Ovis aries: one gene and its partners. The protein of the gene in region 2 purifies or fractionates together with the protein of the main gene of each other region. This does not show direct contact. Links are inferred from orthologs where the notes say so. Each region holds a gene or a part of one and is shown on either strand. Other genes may lie near its edges.

Region 1 (3,651 bases), on a different chromosome or scaffold from region 2:
GTAAAATGAATTATATATGTGTTATACTTTTGCTGGAGTTTTATGAAAAACTTTAATTCATCTATACCTCATTATTTCAAAATTTGCACCAATTCAAGAATAATACACATGATTTTTACAAAAAAAAAAAAAAGACCTTTTCCTGACCCAATTTTAATGAACTTTATCAAAAAACAGATAGATAGCAAAGAAATAATCAGATACTTATTATATAAATTCAGTAAAGCTAAGGCACAAATGGATATTTCAAAGGCAAAAATGTTTTAAAGATGCCTCACAGGACTATAAAACACACACTGAAAGAAGCAAGCTAATCTAGAAATCAGCACATCCAGCTTGTTAGTTTCCTAGGGTAGAAGGCTATATATCTTAAATACTGCTTGTTTTTTGCTCAACTAAAGATCTTCTTGTCTCACACAGCATTCAAAGCACCTGGGATTCACAAGGAAATGTTCTACGTACTAGAATACAATTCTGGAGATTATCATAATTTATAACAACTGATGATTTTATAGTATGATAGTGATTTACCACAACTGAGGTTTAACATATTTAAAATACCGACACCACTACTATCCTATACAAAGAGTTTTCACATACAGTATTTTACGGTTGAAAACATTTAGAAATGAAAGACACCCAACAGTTCATTAAATCTAAACCCCACATTTTAAACATGAGCAATCTAAATACAGGCTTCAGTGATACAGTCAGAAACAAAACTGGCTCAAATATCTTGGAAAGAAAAAAACAGAACAGAAAAGTAAAGCAGTGCTAACAGTGGTGAAACCTGGAGACAGACCTTTAAAAAATTCCACTTAAACTAAAACAGAGTAAAAAAAAAAATTGTAATTCAACTGAATACTGTTATGATTTTACACAAAAATAGCCAGTGAAGACCACTGGATATAATGAGATCTTACAATGCTCTCTAGAAAGTACAGCTTCCAAGTGTTAGCCCTCAAATTCTTCCACTTTGAAAAAAAATTGAGTATATTCATACTAGTCACACTCTTTAAATTCCCAAACACATTTACCTTGCCCACTATTGTTCAAAATTTTATAGATCGGTCCTTATGGACCTGAATTCATCTGTGATCATTTTTATGTTTTGTTTGGTTATTTTCTCCACTGATTTTTTTTTTTTTCTGGCTTTCTGAAACTGTTGTAATGTGAGCAAGATACTGTATTAAAGAGGTGAAAATAACATTTAATTTTCCTATCGTAAATGATCACTTATCTATACATCATCTCATCTGAACTAAAAAAATAATAGCATAAGATCAAGAAAGCAGTTCTTAGCTCCATTATACAGATATAAACAATACAATATTTGTTTATATAAATAATTGTTTATAATATATAAACAATTCAGAGAAGTTATATTTCCAGAAAACAAGGAATAGATGGTAGCGCTGGGCCATGCATTAAGGTTTTCTTACTCTAAATCTGTATTCATATCATATTAGACTGTTCAGATCCGGTATTATAAAGATTAAAAGCTGTATTTAAGGTAATTAAAACATACCTGTATTAGCATTGCTGCTGGCTATGAAACTCACTACCAAAGGTAAACGATTGAATTGAACCACCTAAAAAGAGAACAAGATCTAAAGTATAATGTTATATAGTGAAAAAGTGGTATAATTCAAATCAAATATCTTAATCTTTCTAAAAACTTTAAATGTGTAAGATACTAGCTTGACATCATGGTATTACGTCATGAAAGGTGAAAGAGCTGAAAATAAGTATTTCCGTAAAACAGACTTACTAATTATCTCTTAGAGACATTAATATCACTTAGTCTGGAAAGTTTCTAAGGTGGGGCTGTGTCTTCCTCATCTTTTTTTATCTTCTAAAGCCCTGCAAAGTGTCAATTACATAGTAGGGGCTCAATAAATATTTGATAATTAAGGAGCTAAAGGCATTATTTCTCAGTCATTCAAGTGGTTATAACGTCTCAATCTTTTGCCTCCTCTGTACCACTATAATTTAAATTAACTTACATTTAAGTTAACTTAAAATCAGCTATCTTTTTAAAAAATTTAGCTTCAACCTAACCTTTACTGACTAAATTAAAGGTCAGATGAGCTGGTTATCTTCTGCCTAATAGATACTAAAATACATAACCTTTAAAATAAAAAGTAACACATATGTATCATTGGTAGTGCATGACTTACACCCTGGGAAACTCTGCTCTATGGAAAGCAGTGTATGCTCAATTGCTCAATACTGGAGTGAGTTGCCATGTCCTACTCCAGGGGATCTTCCCGACCCAGGAACTGAAACAGTGTCTCTCATGTCTCCTGCACTGGCAGGCAGATTCTTTACTACTGTGAAGAAGTTACTGATTCATTCTAAAGAAAATACAGCTGGCGATCAAGAGATCTGTAGCAACTAATTTCTCTCCCACAAATAATAACCTCATTTATTTTATATATTTATATAATCAAGCCAAAAGATGGGATTAGTAGCAATAACAAATGTAAATAACTATCGTTTGACTTTCAAGGAAAATCCTGTATCTGTCACAACAACAACCACTGTGTCATTTGAGAAATCACAGTTGTTAAATAAGCTAAGGGCACCATCTACTGGAGGTATTAATAACAGTGACCTGACTTACCCTTTTGAGGATAATATATATTTTACTATTCAATCTTTTAATCTAATTGTTCATATTAATTCCTGAAGTAAAATGTGAAAAAAAATCACTACAGTTTAACATAACCAATTTGAAGGTGAAGATGTTAAAATTCCATCACTTTGGAAACCAAAATTTAGAATTATTAAAACAAACTATTCTACAAAGAAGAGAGAATAATAGTTGAAATCATCAGCAAACCATTTGATAATTATGAACTTACCTGGTAGGTGTTATAGTAACAGATGATACTTTTATTTTTTGAAAGTCCGAGTTTGCTCCCTTGGTCTGTCGCAAGGGCAAAAGTTGATAAGAAACCAGGTCTCAAAGCATGCTCTGGAGCATTATCATTGGCCACTGGAAATACAAGTGATTTAAGTAAAAATTATGTAGGATATACAGCGAGAAGACATTTAGAGTATTTAAAAAAAAAAAAACACATAAACTTGTAGAAAAAAAAAGCACAAGAGTTACGCTTCACAATGCTGAAGTTCATAATACTAATTGGGTCTCATCAGTTTAGGTGAGAAAAACCATTCAATCACAACTAAGGGAAAAAATACTGGTTCTCACAATTTTTCAAAAAATTTCAAATGAATACTAACCATCTCTATCTTCTTAATATCTAACTTAAAACAGGTTATGATTATCAGTACAATTAATAAGTTGAATATTCTGGTTAACTATGAGCTAAGTGAGAATATTGGAAAAAAGCTTTTAACCTTTGCTCTTACAAAACCCACAGAAGCATCATTTGTAGATGATGATAATTCTACACCTGGCCACTGATTTAAGTTTTTTATACTCACTGAAAGGTCTATGTGGAGTTGGTTGTACCGTAAGTGCTGAGCTTAAGGTTTTAACAGAGATCCTCAAAAAGAACACTGGAGCTGGAAAATCTGAGATTATTTTGTTCAAAGTCCTCGTTATGGAACTGAGAAAAGGAAGTGATTTGCCCATGGCTACCTATGTTCTGTGCTGGGTTAGGAAGCATACTGGATCACATA
Region 2 (3,651 bases):
GGAAAGACTGCATTACTTTACTTCAAATAAACTGGTTAAGACCACTTGTTTAGTTGGTTACAGCAAATGTAACTTTTTTCAAATTTTATCCAAAAGCTTTCTTCATTTAAGATAATTTATTCCCAATAAAATAGGTTACGACTAGGTACTTTTTACTAGAATAATCTATAATAAAACTTAATGTAAGAGTAGGCATTAACCAGGGGCCAACAAGGAAGTTTCAGTAAATGGAAACTTCTCTTGGATGAGGGTGACTAGCTTTGAACAGATTTTTCAAGAGGACTCAAACTCTTTCATCGCCAATAAGAAATTAAAAATTATAGCAATCGTTACAGAAGCAAATAATAATTTAAACTTGCTATGTATCTCATGTTCAATCCTAAACCATTACTGTTTATGTAAAACTGCATGAATGGTAACAAATATACAAGTAAATACCAATAACCAATAACTAAATGAGTTGCTTCTCTTTAGCCATACATTACTAACACAGGTACTACTACATACTGCTAACTTCTTGGCAAAGAGTAGATTAATAACAACTAAATCACAAGATAAATATAGTTGATATCAGAGCTAACATAACTACATGGGCAGGAATTAACTTTAAATCATTCTGGACAAGGGAGCGGCTTCTATTTTTAAAGCTCTTCTGGGAAAAGAACACCAAAGGTCTATCCTTAGTAATCGTTTTCATTAGGCAAAGTTTCATAGCAAAAGGATCAGTCACATTTTAAACTGACCTGTTTGCACAGTCATTTCTTGCTTGGCACATCTTGCTGGTCAAGAGAAGAGCCCTTACCTAGGATAAACGTCACCGAAGACATGACCCAATAGCTGGACGCGAGCCAAGTAGCCTAGGAGTGGATACACAGTCATCATCTGGAACAGCAGGAATATTCTTGCAATGAAGGACAGGATGTCACTGCTAGGGAAGTTGTCTAAAAAATTCTAATCCAAGAAAGATAATAAAGTAATGTTACAAATCAAATTTAATATATACAAATTTATAAAATGGAATTTTTTTGCTTATTTTGAACACAGGTGCCACCCAAATTGTATGGTTTCGTGGGCTGGTGCCCGTTCACAAACTATTTGCTATTACTCTTCAATAGCTAAGCACAGAAATTAAAAGTAAGTATTTAGAAACTTAAAGACATTTGACATTGGCATATTTTTGTTTTACAAAAGTATCAATCTGCAATTGATTTGACATTGAAACAACAACAAAGAAGACTTTGTTTACCACTGATAGTTTGAGAAGTAATGCTCTGTTAGTATATGAGGTTTAAGTATAAATTTGTTTCAATGCTATTTCATTCTCAATGATTCTCTTACTTTTTCTCCTCTGATGCACTGTAGCATTTTTAAAGATTATAGCATAAAGTGAGAGTATATCTATTACTTACTATCACTATTATCTATAGTCTATCAATAAAAAGAAAAGAAATTTTTTTCTACTTCCTTTCATGATTCTGTTCTCCATTTTCATTTGGCATCTAAGAAAAAGAAAGCCAATTACTCAGATTTTTTTTCCCTTTCAAATACAAATACCACAGATATTCTTATTCCCAAGGGAGTGGGCTTTATATGGGATTTTTCATATCAGGGGAATTTTCAGCAAACATTTGGCTGCCAAAGAACTTTTGGAATCAAGGAAATCAAGAGAACATTTCAAACTATCAAAAGAGCAATAACTCAAATCTATTTATCTTGAAAAGATGAGAACATTATTGCCACTATTATGCTGAAATAACTTTTATAATTCATAGGTAATAAATCATATTTTGTCTCCACTACACTCTTTTAGAGGAATTTCTTCTGACTGGAATGACAATCACCTGTGAATGCTACTTTCTCTGAGAACTTCTTAAGTCACATAAAACTAGAGATTATGCTATTCCCAGGTTTATGATGGGTCAAATCAAATAACAAATATTATTTATGGCAGCCTTTTAGTAAAAGAATGTTTCTTTTATTCTTTCTGTCTCTTCCTCTGTCTTTTTAAGAAATAGTCTTTCTTTGCTTTTATGCTTGCCACCTAGACCAAAATGAGTGTCAAATCTATTATCAGGGACTGATGAATTAAGAAACCAGTTTATTCAGGACATTTCGATCTGGACTTTAGAAAATCAGGGAACTGAATATAGTCTCTGTGAGGGTTTATAAATTCAAGACTGCTACTAGCATAATTATCCACACACAGAGAAAAATAAGCAAATAACAGGAATCATTTATTTGAGTACCACAGGTGCCAGCATACAGAAGGTTTTCTGAGAGACCTTCTAAAATCTATGGAGTATCTATTATGATATTTAATGGAAGAAGAAACTGAAGCTCACAAAGAATGGGGAAGGTGCCTGAATTCCCACATGTATGAAAATAGAAGAGACTGGATTCAAACCCAGGCCTGTCTGGTAGTATACATTGCTACTGTATCATACTGTTTGCCCTGCAGATATGAAGGTATAAACAATCACACAGAGAGGGTACACAGTGCCTTACCTGCTCTATACAATCTTTGGATAATGGTGGTGAAGGAAATGAAGCAAAAACCAAGACTCCAATATAGAGATAAGTTAATGTCACCAGCATATAAGCAATGGACAAGTCCCTCACCTGTAAACAGAGAATAAAATTCCCACAATGATGAATAAATTTTTAGTAAGTATGTCTGAATAGGCTAAAAAATAAGTGAAAATGAAGTCGCTCAGTCGTGTCCAACTCTTTGTGACCCCATGGACTGTAGCCCACCAGTCTCCTCCGTCCATGGGATTTTCCAGGCAAGAATACTGGAGTGGGTTGCCATTTCCTTCTCCAAAATAATAAGACTGACAAATAAATGTAATATTTATCTTTTTGCTCTCTCTGTGTAAATATACATCTCCTAGGTATCCAGGTTGCTCAGAGACATTTGTTAAAACAAAATTCACATACTTAACAACTAGTCTGACAACTTTTTAAAAACTATCTGGAGTATGAAGACTAAGTTATCTGCTGGCAGGCTTAGAAAGTTAACATAAATGGTGGTTTATCATGATTGAAATTTGGACTTAATTTTGAAATGCAATTTATTTACCAAATTATAAAATATTTAACTAAAAAAATAAAGCTAAGGGACAACAAGAAATCAAGAATAGGCTGCTTTCTGTATGACCTATGGAATTAAAAAAATTTTTTTTCTTTTAGTGAATTAACTTTGTAGATCATCAAAGCATACCTAGACCAAAAGAGACTGGTATATATTAAAATATATTTAATAAAGTACGAAAGCTAGTTAAAAAGCAGACAGTAAGCAGGTATTAAAGACAAGCTTAATAAACCTAAATAGTAAACAAAAGGAAATCAAAAGGCAGCTGTTCAAACAGCTGCACAATGTTATGATTGGAGCCAGTAAACAAATGCAGAACATTAAATAAAGTGGATTGCTTTCTTCCACTGCTGTTCCCACCCTCCCAACCATCCCCATGCAAAGTAAAAAGCTCCAAGATATTTAATGGAGCCAGCTGTTTGATCCAAACAGAACAGATCCCACAGCTCATAAATCTGGTCTCCATCACCACAAAAGTTATGGCCAAACAATTCAGCACAACTAAATTATGGCAATAAGCTTATTCATTTTTCATTTTAAACACAAATTACTTTGAAAGC
Region 3 (4,224 bases), on a different chromosome or scaffold from region 2:
AGATGTTTTTCTGGAACTCTCTTGCTTTTTCGATGATCCAGTGGATGTTGGTAATTTGATCTCTGGTTCACTTAGCATGTTTTCAAGGTTTATCTGTGTGATAGCATAGATCAGTACTTCACTCCTTTTTACAACTGGACAATGTTCCATTGTATGGATATGCCGCATTGCTTTATCTGGTCTTCAGTTTATGAATATTTGGGTTGCTTTCCATTTGGGGGCGATTATGAGTGATGCTGCCATAACATCTGTGTACAAGTTTTTGTGTAAACATAGTTTTCAGTTCTCTTAGGTATGTATGAAGGAGTGGAATTTTTAGGTCCTATTTAACTTTCATTTATAAATATAGTAACTCTATTTAACTTTCAGAGGAACCACCAATCTGTTTCCCACTACAACTGCACTATTTTACATCCCTACCAGCAATGTATGAGAGCCCCAATGTCTCCAAATCCTCATCAAGCTTTTTTATTAGTTTATCATCATTTTGCCTCACATTAATATTGCAGCAGGTCTAAAAACTACTTAAATTAAAACAAAAAATTTCTAAATGACACTCATATATTTAAAAAATTACCCCAAGGTCATTTTCTAATTATTCCTGGCAGAGAATATTCAGTATTGCAGCTGCCTTGGCTGCTGCTGCTGCTGCTAAGTCGCTTCAGTCCTGTCCGACTCTGCGACCCATAGACGGCAGCCCACCAGGCTTCCCCGTCCCTGGGATTCTCCAGGCAAGAAGACTGGAGTAGGTTGCCATTTCCTTCTCCAATGCATGAAAGTGAAAAGTGAGAGTGAAGTCGCTCAGTCGTGTCCGACCGTTAGCGCCCCATGGACTAGGGAGGTATAATGCTCTATCACACAGTTTCTTACAGAATCCCGGGACGAAAAATCGCTTTGGAACAAATTCCTGTCAGAGAGCTGCCTGAAGTAGGCACAAGAGTAGCATCTGAATAGCTCTCTATCTACGTCTTTTGGCTCGCTCAGGATTCCACTTGCGAGCCACCTAGCCTTGTTGGAGTCTGCCCCCGCCGCCCCCGTGTGCGCAGGCGCAAACTCTCAGCCCGGCCTCCCTCCGGCCCCGCCTCCAGACCCGCCCCCCGCCGACACGCCCCCCTCCTTCGCGCTCTGGGGCTAAGGGGAAGGGAGATGAATGTTCAAGAGGATGTGCGGCCAATGCGCGAGCGTCTCGGAAGCGGCGCTCCGCACTGGCAGAGTAAGTCTGATGACGTAGCCACTCTCCAATCGGCATCCTGGGGGCGGGACTAAAGTCGGGCAGGGCAGGGCCGGAGGAGGAGACCGCTGGGTGGAAGCACGTGACCGCGGTCTGGAGCCGGAACTAGGTCTGGCTACAAGCTCCCCCAGCACCTAGAGCTGCGATGGTAAGTGAGGACGCATGCGCGGAGTTACGCGCCGCGCCGGCGGTTCCTTACCCCTGTCCCCCAATCTCTTTGGTTGCGGGGTCCTGAGCGTGCCCTCCGGCCTCACCTCCTATTCTCCCTGGGACTGGAAGGAAATGGAGAAGGGAGGGGTGGTGACGTAGAAGGCCAAGGAGAAGTCGCTGGGAGGGTGTGTAGAAGCTGGGGACTAGTCTGAGGGGGAGGCGCAGGCCACAGGTGCGTTTGGGGAGGGGGCCCTTGGGGTAGCAAAGGTGACGTGTGGAAAGCTGGTGGCGCCCGGGCGGAGGAGAGGACTGACGGAGGCTCAGGAGCATCAGTGTTGAAGGCCGTGTAGAGGGAAGAGGGTCTGGAAGGGCCCTGGCTGGGTAAAGAGGCCTGGAGCGGGGGCAGGGGGCACTGTCAAGAGAGGCACTCTGGTTGCCCAAGGGCCATCCTTTCGGCCTACTGCTCACTAATTGCATCTTTACCCACCAGACTTCGGCACTGACTCAGGGGCTGGAGCGAATCCCCGACCAGCTTGGCTACCTGGTGCTGAGTGAAGGCGCGGTGCTGGCGGTGCGTTCTGGAAACGGGAGGGGGGGTGCTCCAAGTACACATGACTCTAGGATGCCTTCTAATGTTGCCCTGTTTGGCCCGATTGGTCTCTGTTCTTGTCTTTCCCTGGTATCACGCCTGGCGTGTAGGAATTAAATCAATTAATCAATCTCTGGACTCTCAGTCTTGTAACTATCCTGAGGTAAAAGAGGTTTACTGACTTTACCAAAGTCAAGCAAGTTACAGGTTTGTTGATAACTGACAATCCCCAAGTTACTCTTGAGTATGTCTTTATTTGGTATTTATTGAAGAGGCTTGGTATTTTGTTCTGTAGTACAATACAGTGTCAGCTCTAGAAGTTTTCAATCTAGCTAGAGACAAGGCTTAAGGCTAAAAGTTCAAAGTAGTGCATGTGGTTAACGCAGCTGAAGGAGTCCAGAAAGTGAAGGATTCAGCCCTTCATACTATAACTTGTGTTTTGGCAAGGAACCTTCCTTGGACGAGGTAAGAATTCATCTGGGCTTAAAAGATGGATGGATGACAGGAAAGAAAGAATATTCAGAGTTGGGAGGTGGACATTTTGCAGGAGTGTAACACCAGCCTATCTGAATTGGTGATGGGGTTATGTTGAAAAGATTTGGAAACATTTGGGGGAAGAAGAGGATATGGTGAGGAAAGGTCCGATTGTGAAGGACTTTCAAGGCTAGGTTAACACATTTGGATTAATCTTGAAGGGTTTTTGAACAGAAACAAGCTGATGAAGTGATTGAGTAGCATTGTTCTGTTAGGCGTAAAGGTAAGACAGAAGGGGCAGGATTCAAAAGCGGGGATGCTGTTGCCAAAATGTAGGTATGAAACCTCTGGTTGCAATGAGAAGCAAGGAGAGAAGGGGTTTTTAAAGGAAGAATTGGTTTGTCTTTGTAATGACTAGAGTTCAGTAATAAAGGGGATACTTTTCTATCCTGTAAGACTTTGACCTCAAGCCTAGAATGATGGTGCCTTAACCAGCAGGGACTTAAGAAAGGAAGTTGACTGGAGAGGGGGAGAGATAGGGGGGATTTTGATAGTGCAGCTTTAAACACTAAGTTTGATATAGAATAATAGGGTAAACTCCAGGAGTTAGTGATGGACAGGGAGGCCTGGCATGCTGCGGTCCATGGGGTTGCAAAGAGTTAGACACAACTGAGCAACTGAACTGAACTGAATAGCCGTTAAATAGATAATGCCAGGAGCTAATCTGAGCATCTTGCCCCAGTACTCTTGTGACACTCACAAGCACGTAAGATAGGTACTGATGTCCCCAGTTTACAGATGAGGAAACAGGTATAGAATCCAGCAGGAGGGCCACCTTGAGGAGGTAAGAAGTTGAGATCATTACCAGAAAAGAGGAAGCCCAGGCCACTGTGACGTCATTATTCAAGGGCCAGGTAGTCCGAAGGGGTTCAGAGAGAAAAGGGATGTTTATGTTTCAGGTTCTGCAGACAGGGTGACAAATGAGAAATGGGAAAAGATGGAGCCTGGGACTCTAGCTGTGGTGGGTGGGCACTAATCTGTAAGAATGTGATTTTTTTCAAATAAGTGGAGACAGGGAGAGAAATGAAGATTCAGGGATTGGGGAAACAGGGTCAGTAATGGACAGAAATGGATGAGAGTTCCTACTTCCTCAGGGAAGCCCAGTATTTTGGAACAAGATGGCATCAAGAGGGGCAACAATATCATAGGAAAGTTTTAAGTTTTTCCAATACTAGGGGTGATGTTGCAGTGTTGGAAAGTGGAGACAGGTTACACAGAAGGGTTCTTGGAGTTGCTTCCCAGTCTGTCCCTGATTCCTGCCCCCCTCCCTCTGTGTGCAGTCATCCGGGGATCTGGAGAATGACGAGCAGGCTGCCAGCGCCATCTCTGAGCTCGTCAGCACGGCCTGCGGTTTCCGGCTGCACCAAGGCATGAGCGTACCCTTCAAGCGTCTGTCGGGTGAGCCCCGGCCTCTGGTAGTGGGGAAGGGGGGTGGGGTGCTGCTCCCCAAGGCCACTCTTCTCAGGGAAAGACACCTGTCTCCTACCAGCTGCCCACCATCTCCTCTGGAATCCTTGTCTTCCCTGTGGTATTTACCCCTGTATCAGAACTATGAGAAAAGCAAGAGAAGGGAGGGGATTTAATGGAGACCTCCCATCTTCTAATCTCTGAGCTTTGACCTGTTGAATTCCTTTGGCTTTGGATCCTAGCCAGTTTGTGTGCGACCCCCACTGAGGCCCCCATAACCCACTAACTCTCTGCTCCCTTCCCTCTCCCGGGC

What was found.
Region 1: the proteins of SLC38A9 (region 2) and LAMTOR3 purify together in Homo sapiens (affinity purification with mass spectrometry; 3 studies listed by BioGRID and IntAct, with this or other methods). This does not show direct contact. The link is inferred for Ovis aries from reciprocal best matches to the Homo sapiens genes SLC38A9 and LAMTOR3.
Region 3: the proteins of SLC38A9 (region 2) and LAMTOR4 purify together in Homo sapiens (affinity purification with mass spectrometry; 4 studies listed by BioGRID and IntAct, with this or other methods). This does not show direct contact. The link is inferred for Ovis aries from reciprocal best matches to the Homo sapiens genes SLC38A9 and LAMTOR4.

What each region holds. Positions count from the first base shown.
Region 1 is NC_056059.1:25,128,333-25,131,983, reverse strand, and holds part of LAMTOR3 (ragulator complex protein LAMTOR3), read right to left. Parts: intron 3,002-3,651; coding exon 2,868-3,001; intron 1,593-2,867; coding exon 1,529-1,592; intron 1-1,528. UniProt on the Homo sapiens protein: As part of the Ragulator complex it is involved in amino acid sensing and activation of mTORC1, a signaling complex promoting cell growth in response to growth factors, energy levels, and amino acids.
Region 2 is NC_056069.1:23,717,305-23,720,955, reverse strand, and holds part of SLC38A9 (neutral amino acid transporter 9), read right to left. Parts: intron 2,620-3,651; coding exon 2,506-2,619; intron 952-2,505; coding exon 803-951; exon of another isoform or gene 744-802; intron 1-743.
Region 3 is NC_056077.1:36,680,836-36,685,059, reverse strand, and holds the start of LAMTOR4 (ragulator complex protein LAMTOR4), read left to right. Parts: upstream 1-1,321; 5' UTR 1,322-1,376; coding exon 1,377-1,379; intron 1,380-1,871; coding exon 1,872-1,952; intron 1,953-3,784; coding exon 3,785-4,087; 3' UTR 4,088-4,224. UniProt on the Homo sapiens protein: As part of the Ragulator complex it is involved in amino acid sensing and activation of mTORC1, a signaling complex promoting cell growth in response to growth factors, energy levels, and amino acids.